Linked DNA regions of Drosophila melanogaster. The protein of the gene in region 1 binds, or shares a complex with, the protein of each later gene. Each region holds a gene or a part of one and is shown on either strand. Other genes may lie near its edges.

Region 1 (4,900 bases):
GGCATGACTAAGGAACATCTTGGTCTGGCCTTGGCTCTAGCCGTGCCCGTTTTCGTGGTGGTCACTAAGATTGACATGTGCCCGGCCAACGTGCTGCAGGAGAACATGAAGCTGCTCTTTAAGATGCTCAAATCCCAGGGCTGCCGCAAGGTGCCGGTTGTGGTGCGTTCGCACGACGACGTTGTCCTAAGCGCTACGAATTTCGTTAGCGAGCGTCTGTGCCCCATCTTCCAGGTGTCGAATGTGACCGGTGACAACCTGGAGCTGCTCAAAATGTTCCTCAACCTTCTCAGCACGCGAATGCCCGGCTCCGAGAGTCTGCCGGCCGAGTTTCAAATCGACGATGTGTACGCGGTGCCGGGTGTGGGAACTGTTGTGTCCGGTACATGCCTTCAGGGCACTATTCGGCTAAATGACTGCCTGATGCTTGGTCCAGACGCGGTGGGTTCATTTGTGCCCATCACCATCAAGAGCATCCATCGCAAGCGCATGAACGTGGCACGCGTGCGCTGTGGCCAAACAGCAAGCTTTGCGTTAAAGAAAATAAAGCGCGCCTATCTGCGCAAGGGCATGGTAATGGTGTCGCAGGATCTCAAACCGCAAGCCTGCTGGGAGTTCGAGGGAGAGATACTAGTGCTCCACCATCCGACGACGATATCGGCGCGCTACCAGGCCATGGTCCACTGCGGCAGCATCCGCCAGACGGCCTCAATCATACACATGTCGCGCGACTGCCTGCGAACAGGCGACAAGGCACATGTGAAATTCCGGTTCATCAAGCAGCCGGAGTACATACGCGCCGGTCAGCGCCTGGTCTTTCGCGAGGGACGCACCAAGGCTGTTGGCAATATACTGCGTCCGCTACCGAATGCTGCCGCTAGCCCATATCGCCCCAAGCCCGCCAAGATGCAGTCGCGCTCACATAACGGCGGCAGCAACGGCAGTAACAACCAGCACCGCCAGCAGGGCCAGGGCAGCTCCTCGGGCGCCGGATGCAGCAAGGACAACGCCGACGAGAAGCAGAACGGCGACAAGCGCGAGGGTGGCAGCCGGCGAGGTGGCAAGCGGAAAAGAAATAATCGCCCGACTCCGTCCGGCGGCGTTGGGGTGGATCCATCCAATGGCTCGGCCTCTTTGGGTCTGCCCCTCGGCGAGAATCCTTCGTCGTCGTCCTCGGTTGAAGTCACACCGGCCGCTCTCACCGAGTGAAGTGCGCCGCCTGCATGTTTTGGCTCTTTCTAGTTTTGTAAACTAAAGTATTTTTTTTTCAAATTCTTAAAGATAATTGGATGAATTTATTTTGCGACCTTCTAATCTAAAGTGGCATGTGCCCCAATAAACTATTTCGTGTCCCGTTCTTGTCCACTGTACATTGTGCTATATGCCAAACCAAATTCTATATTTTGTTTGTTCACTAGACTTAAGACAACCGACGTCACTGCAGCATGGATTTCATTTGTCTTTTCACTGAATAAACGCAGGTTGAACCAGATGCTACTTGTGTACATGATATTAAATTATCTCTCGATAAACTTAAATAGACACGACTTTATAAATTGGAATCTTAAATTAAAATCTTATAGTTTAAGATGAGTTTAATGTCTATGCAAACTGAAAATGAAAACAAATTTGCTGACGCAAATTACGTTGAAAGCGTTGTAAATGCAGACATTAGGTTATTATTTGATTTTTTTGTAAAACGATAGTTTCAGAATGACAATCTGAAGTTCTCTTTTGTTTTTAAGTGTTAAGATAAAATGGCAATGAATAAGGATTTCTTTGTTTCCTAATTACCTTAATAAAAGCAATTTCCTATTCTACAAAAATAAGGTTCATTCACCGAAGATAATGTTCTGGCTTCAATGTTTATTCATCTGTGTTTACTAAAATTTATCTTGCCGCGTATATACAATTGTAGTTAAACAAGTTAATTACTGAACCCTAGTTCTTTTTCTTGCTATTAAGCTCCTTCTTCACTCCCTCCAGCTCTTGGCGCACGTTGTTCTTAAACATGTTAACGAAGGATCTACAATTTGGAAAATGCATGTCAGATTGGCGGATTCAGCCAGATGATTCTGGCGATTCTTTCACTCACTTGAAACGCTCTGGCGTCATCTCGTGCAGTCCCTGCTCCCGGGCCAAGTCTTTTGTGCGGTACATCAGGGAAACGACCAACTGGGCAGCGCGTCTCATGGGATAGCTCTCCGCCATGCGCTGGATGAGCTGCTCGTTGTTGGCCAGGTAGCGCATTAGCAGTCGCAGCACCATCTTGCCCTTTTTTTTATTTTGCTGCCGCCTAGAACTCTGTGTCCTTGTATTTGCGAATTAGCTGCTGCTTAAGCTTCAGCTGATTTCGCAGTAGTTCCAGTCTCTGTTGCTGCTCCTCCTTATTGAAATCGATCCCGGGGAGCTGGCGGATTTGCTCGCGTGCCGATTCGAAGCGTTTTTGAAGTTCAAAGATCTACAAATCAAGTATATAGCGGTGGCAACTTATGACGAACCAAGGACTCACCTTGTGGTTGCAATCCTGGGACTCGCGCAGCTTAACGGCGTTCTCCAGAGGATCCTTTTCCACGCTGAAAGACACAAAGACGCCAGGTTATATAAGGTGCGGCATTAATTGCGCACTTGTTGCTAAAATCCGCCGATTTTCGGCATTGTCCGTGCAGGGGCAATGACACCCGGAATCCGCATCCGCGATGACCACTCACCAGCGCACAATGTCGTAGATTATCGGCAGAATCTCAATGTCCAACTGGTCAACCGTCAGATGGCACTGGCCGCCGATTCCGTTGGATGTTTGCGTCTCCTGCGATATGGTCGGCTCGAAGGGGGAGTTCGAAGTCTGAACCAGGCCGTCGGCGGTTAGGATGGGTTTTCTGTCCTCGATCTGATTGTTTGGCGACAAATCCATCATAAAAAACACGAATCGAATTTCCAGCGTCAGAATCAATAGGACCTTACCGACAACACGTAATAATACCAAAGTAATGCCCTCACATTCTCTTAATTCGATTAATATACTAAAGGGAAAAGTAGTAGATGCACAACCTGCTATCGAAGTACGATAGACCGATAGAGCCAGGCAAATGCCGCCTCTGCTTATCGATAACAAGCAACGAATCGTTTAGAATTTATAAAGAAGAAAAACATAAAGCCAACATGAGCGACAGCGGTGTTTTCGCCTTCGTAAGTAGCTGCACAAATAAAAAACTCAATAGATTAAACCTCGTTTAATCTATCTAGGAGCTTGGCGATGACCTAGCCACACGCTGTGGCAATACACTCACTGGCGTCTTTGTGCCGGGCTCACGAATCGCACTCAGCGCCTACCGGCATGTGACGCACAGTTCGCGGGATGAGCCCACAGAGAATGCTGGACAGGTTCCGGTGCTCATCTACATGGCGCAGGAGTCGACGCTGTTCGACGAACCCGTTCTCCGCAGCGTACTCGCCGAGGCGAATGCCACGTTCGCCACGCTGCAACAGTTGGGTTCGCGGGCCACACGTGCCGAGTATGTGAATATATCCCGGGCATACAGGAGCATTGTGCGCTCATGCCTGGAGAAGCTGGAGCAGGCAAAAAAATCGCCGGAGGTTCAGACAGATGAGGCGCGCCTGCAACGCTTATGTGATGCCATCGTTGTGTTCTATGCGGCAGAATGCCTGTGGCATCTCTTCGAGATTCTGTACATTCAGAGCAATCAGCTGGTGGTGCCGCAGCTGCTCGACTGGGCGCGTTTCCACTCGCCGCACGCAGAGGACAGAGCCACGGATCTACTGCTCATGGGAGAGGAGGCCAGCGAATCTGATGACTATTGGAGCATTGTCAAATCACTCATTATGCTGGGCGAAATAGATGTTACGAGAGCAGTTCTCTCGCAGAATCGCAAAGCTGGACAAACGAGCTTCAAGGCGGCCGAACAGATCCTGAAGTCCATGCCAGTGTATCAAGAGGGCTATGCCCTGCAGAAGTTTCACTCGCAGTGGGAGTTCTGGCACGTGGATACGGAACGCAAGATTCAGTCCGGCTTATTTGCCACGGAGCCGGAGCTGGAGCAGTTGATTCGTCTGGTCGCCGGCGACAGCGAGCAGTGGGATGCTGGCATCAAAGAGTCCCAGGATTTCTATGAATACCTGCCAGGATACCTGCTCTTTACCAAGCCCACCTGCAAACCCTTTGAGCTGAAAATAGCGGCAGCCAAATGGCTAAACCGATGGTGTCTTCTCCGGCCGGAAAGAGAGCAGTGCAGCATGAACCGCATGGTTTCTCAGCTTATGGATCACGATCTTAGACTATTTATATACGATGCTCAAAAACTTAACGACACACACTGGTTCTCAACGCATTTGATTGATCTTATCCATCATTGTGGTCAGCTGAAGAGCTATTTCGATCAGAACAACATGTGAGTTTTTTTGTCAGAAGTTATGTTCAATCAATATGCTATATATTTTATGCACCCACAGCGATCTTCCGGCCCTGCGTCACTCAATGATCTATGAGTACGGCAGCTATCTGATGACGTCCCACAATATGTGGCAACTGGGCATCGACTATCTGGACTGTTGCAAGCAGGAGGGTCAGGCGGCTATCGAGCTGCTTTTGCCCCGAATCACTTTGCGCAGCGAGCGGCAAGCCACCAAGCTTATTAACCTGGCCAGGCAGCGCGGGCTCATAAGCGTAGAACGGGAGATCTGCAAGGTGCTTTCAAAGCGATCCTACGATAACGAGCGTTATGGAAACGCCCTGGAATGGGCCATTCGCTCCAAGGATGTGCTGCTGGTTACGGCGGTAGCTGACTTTATTTTAAAGGTAAATATAAACTATTTTTGCATAAGTATTTCATTCAATTTGATTTGTATATTGATCTGTGGCATAGCATTACTCGAAAACTGG
Region 2 (4,250 bases), on another chromosome or scaffold:
GTTCTCGCCGTACTTTTCTAAAATGAGCGATTGCAGGCCGCTGAACGTTAGCTGCTCCGTGTTGCTGTCGCTTTGGTCCGACCTGCGCAGAATGGACAGTTGCATCCACAGGAAGTCGTCGATGCTGCGCATTAGTTCTACGTGAGTGAAGTGCGGATCACACGCCAACAATACGACGTATACCTAATGGAAAAGAGAAAAACATATGATTAGCACGAATATACGCAACAAGTTGTAGCAAAAGATGAGCACTCACCGCCTTTTTGTAGGGATCCGTACAGGCGCGCAGTCTACTGTTGTACTCCAACTTTAGCTGACCCTCAAGCTTTACCATCAAGTTGTCCCTATCGCCGTTCTTTCGCAACGTCAATAGCGTAAGCAGGTCGGGGCAGGTTCCCGATTCCTTGAGATACAACGCAGCCGCGTCCATATCGCCACTCCGCAAGCTATAGTAAACATGTGGCCACAATGGCTGGCCATTGTTCACGTCATGCAGCCCGTAGAGGGCTCGCTGCCCCTGGAGAGTAACGCCCACATAGGAGCGGACCATATGGTACACGCTGGGGATTCCTCCCCGCCGCGCTTTGGCCAAATTCGCGACGATAAACTTTCTCATATACGTCCTATATCTGCGCTCCAAGTACGTGCGGGCCTGCTCAACGAATTGCGGTGATGTCTGACGATTCTTGATTGGATCGATGGTGCTCGAGACTGGCGGCAACGCGGTCATAAACTGCAATACATTCCACATCTCGGCTACGGACTCATCGTTGAAGGAGTCTTGGACCACGTGGGCAAGGGTCGACAGCAAGTTAGGGCGTCTGCCCAGGATGATCGACTGGTTGTGGATGGCGATCTGTTCAGCGTACATCTGCTCATGGCCATTCAGTTGGGAGTACGGAGTGGGCTCATCAGCCATGGCCGTGGGCACTATCTGAAACTGGACGTCGGGGAAGTCCTGTTGGTTTGGTCCGACCAGAGCGTTTAGCAGCGCTTCCTTCTCCTCGCCCCACTCCGAGTAGATGCAACGCCACTTCTGTCGCTCCACAGATTTAAATATCTGCAATGGATTGGTTAATGGAGATAGAAAGTTCAGAATTTTGGGTGTCTGCCTGAAGCATGTCATTTGGCGCACTCACACTGCGATTCGTCTCATCGATAACTGAGAGTATGGCGTTCTCCCGCTCGTTCTTCAGATAGGCCTGCACATTGGTCTCCGTCACCGGATCAATCGGCTCGAAGGTTTGGCGGGCGCTGAGCGACTCCAGCTTCTGTGTAAGCTTGGGCAGGTCCACGCCCTTAGAGCCGAGCAGTATGTGGCTGCATTTGAATGACCGGTTAATATGACAATTTTTGGCGCCTGGCCTATAGCGAACTACTCACGCCTGCAGATCATTGGTGCCCATTTGGGTGACACGCGAGTGAAACTCCTTGGTTGCCTGCAGAACCTGGGACATGGTCCGTTCCACGCCCGGCACCTCCGTGTCCGTATTGGTCTCGTTCGTCAGGCGCTGGGCCTGCTTCAGCAGTTCCATCAGATCCATGTCGTGATATTGGGATGGAAAAGCCGGTGCCAATAAAATGATATTTCCAACGAAGCGCACACCAAGCTGCTAGTGCTGCCACCTGGTCGCAGTCCGGATTATTTCGGCGCCATAAAATGTTTGCAATCGGTGGTATTCTTTTTGGTATATTTAATAGTACAACTGTTATATGTTAGAATAACTATAATAATGTCTACAGATGGTATATAATTTAAAAGGAATATTTGATAATTAAAATCATTAAATTGAAAAATTTATATAGATAGCAGACTAAGAAATTATTTCTCAATACCTAAAAGTTGTTATAAAAACAAAGAAAATAGTCGATTTCCCCGAACGCGAAATTTCAAAATTTTTATGGAATATCGATATATTGGGGAATAAATTGAGAACAAATGGGAGTTTTGTAGGTATAAGGTATTTTTGGTATTACGCAATCTGTTATTGAAATGTCCCAATAACAACTGTTATTGAGAGGGAGTTGTAAGTACAACTTTAAAAACATTTGGTATTAGCTTGGTATTTATAGGCCGGCCGAAAGGCAGGACCGTCTGGTAACACTGAACAGCAGGCGTTAGTGTATTTCGCGCAGTGCAGATTGGTTTATTCAGCGGCTAACCAATTCAATCGTGAATAGACTTTAGCAGCGCGCAAATCGTAGAACAGAACGGCATATTTTTTTTAAACACTGCGAGGCGAGCTTCTTCTTCCCTCCGTCTCTCTGTGTGTGTGTGAGTGTGCTGCCTGTGTGTGTTACAGCTTGTGTACGTGAGTGTGTGTATTGGCAAAGGAAATTAGCACAACAAAAGCGAAAAGGAAACGAACACGCACGCACCTCGTCACGCGGATAAAGAAAAAAACTCTTCGATCTGATCAGAGATATCGAGAATAAACGATAAAAATAATAACAATATCGCAATGTCGGAAGTTGAATCGCAGCAGAGCCAGGAGACGAACGGCAGCAGTAAATTCGATGTGCCCGAGATAGAATTGATCATAAAGGTGAGCGAACAGCGACATTTGCATACCCCTGCAGTTTTCCATTTCGCTCTGCGCAAATTTCCGTGCAGAGTGAAAATGCAGCCGGGGCAAAAGCAGAAGCAAATGCAAACAAAGGCAAAAACAAGAAGCGACTGGGAAAACGCGAACTGCCGTTTGTTTCTCCTCCTCCTCCCTCTTTTCGGCTTCTTACCCCTGTTCGTTCTTCGTTGTCTTCTTCTTCTTCTTCTCACTGTGGCACTTTGCAGTGTGTCACATTTGGTTAAAACGAACAGAATACGTTTAGCACACACCGCCCCCTCCCCTCTCGCCGACGTTCCCCTTTCGCCTTGCGGTTCCTAAGCATCGCCAAAACCGGTTTTCTCCTTTTCTCCCTATCGCACATTCACACACACATACACACACACATACACACACACGCACGCACACTATCGCATACACATGCATTCGGGCACATCTGCACAGAACGAAATTGTTGATTGAGTTATGATTTTCAGAACTCCATGATTACCATTATAAAGCATCCAAATTAAATATTACAGCATACCTTTTTGGTGCAATACTCTAAAGCCGCCCTTTTTCCAAATTATCCGAGCATACCAAGCTGTTCATATGAAATATCTTTTTAATATTTTATAATTAACAATTAATCATGATATTGCTGTGTGCGCACAGTCTGAAATTTGTGGAACGTAACATATTACTTCGGTTCTTATCTGCTAAAAAATTTAATCACATTTCATTGCGCCAATTGCTCAACAAATGCTCCTTCATCATAGTTCTCCTAAGCCCCCCGCATCGCCCCCCTTCGCAACCATCAGCATGTTTCTCTCTGTGTGTGTGTGTGTGAATTAGAGGTTCTTTTTTATCTTTTAGTGATTTCTAAATTTCTTGACACATACGTCATGCTCCTCCAAAGAATCGAAGAAAACAAAAAGCTAGCACTCCGCACATTTGCGGTCAAGATAATAGCATTGAGAAGCCAAGATTCCTAAAGTGTGATTAATTAAATGAATTTAAATCATAGAACTTAACTTTAGATTGCTCAATATGTAGTGTTTTATTTCTTTATGTATTACAAATAATCGATAATAAAAACTTGTTCGATTTTTTCTCCTCGAATACAACGCTTTTCTTATCAGTTCTGTTCTTCGATAGTGGAAAAAAAAACATGTGATAAAACAATTGTTCATTGGCATCTTTCTTAAAGGTGATATTATTGCAAAATGAGTCAAAGAAAGATTACGAACCCTTTGGTTTTTTTTTTTGTATTATAGTAGAGGCCGCAATCTATTTCTTTCCCCGGAATTGTAAGTCGAGCATGAGTCCACTTAATTTTGTTTCTTTTGTTGGTTCCCACTGTTTGCCGAAGTAATTGTAATTGTTTTCGGAACACTTTGGAGCCCTGCTGTTGTTGATTCTATTGGCAAACTCGACTCGACTCAACTTGGCCACTCATCCAGCCCACGCAAATGGAGACCGCACCTCGAGTCGTCTGCCCATGAGTAATTTCCCTCACCTTTGCATTGCCTAAACCCAAACAGTACAATATACCATGTGTTATACCATTCGATTCCCGAAAGAAAAAGAAAAAAAAAACCCCACTCGACGCTAAACAACTGACATGAGCAATCGTGTACTTCGAATAGGGTTTCGTAACCAGTTTTGTTTCCAAATTAAACAGCAATACGATATGTAATGGCTGAA

What was found. The genes of interacting proteins can lie anywhere in the genome.
Region 2: Nup75 (region 1) and Nup93-1 share a complex: the UniProt entries of both Drosophila melanogaster proteins name them as parts of the nuclear pore complex.

What each region holds. Positions count from the first base shown.
Region 1 is NT_033778.4:18,165,334-18,170,233, reverse strand, and holds the start of Nup75 (nucleoporin 75kD), read left to right. Parts: upstream 1-3,093; 5' UTR 3,094-3,162; coding exon 3,163-3,189; intron 3,190-3,246; coding exon 3,247-4,409; intron 4,410-4,470; coding exon 4,471-4,816; intron 4,817-4,883; coding exon 4,884-4,900. Other genes in the region: Dgp-1, read left to right, coding at 1-1,209; CG42518 (uncharacterized protein), read right to left, coding at 1,942-2,026, 2,096-2,268; MED9 (mediator complex subunit 9), read right to left, coding at 2,297-2,461, 2,513-2,576, 2,712-2,917. UniProt on the Drosophila melanogaster protein: Component of the nuclear pore complex (NPC) that seems to be required for NPC assembly and maintenance. Required for nuclear import of phosphorylated Mad via importin msk.
Region 2 is NC_004354.4:13,820,221-13,824,470, reverse strand, and holds the start of Nup93-1 (nucleoporin 93kD-1), read right to left. Parts: upstream 1,646-4,250; 5' UTR 1,545-1,645; coding exon 1,384-1,544; intron 1,321-1,383; coding exon 1,140-1,320; intron 1,061-1,139; coding exon 257-1,060; intron 184-256; coding exon 1-183. Other genes in the region: Clic (chloride intracellular channel), read left to right, coding at 2,463-2,546. UniProt on the Drosophila melanogaster protein: Required for nuclear pore complex assembly, maintenance and function. Required for nuclear import of phosphorylated Mad via importin msk. Has no role in classical nuclear localization signal (cNLS)-dependent nuclear import via importin-beta.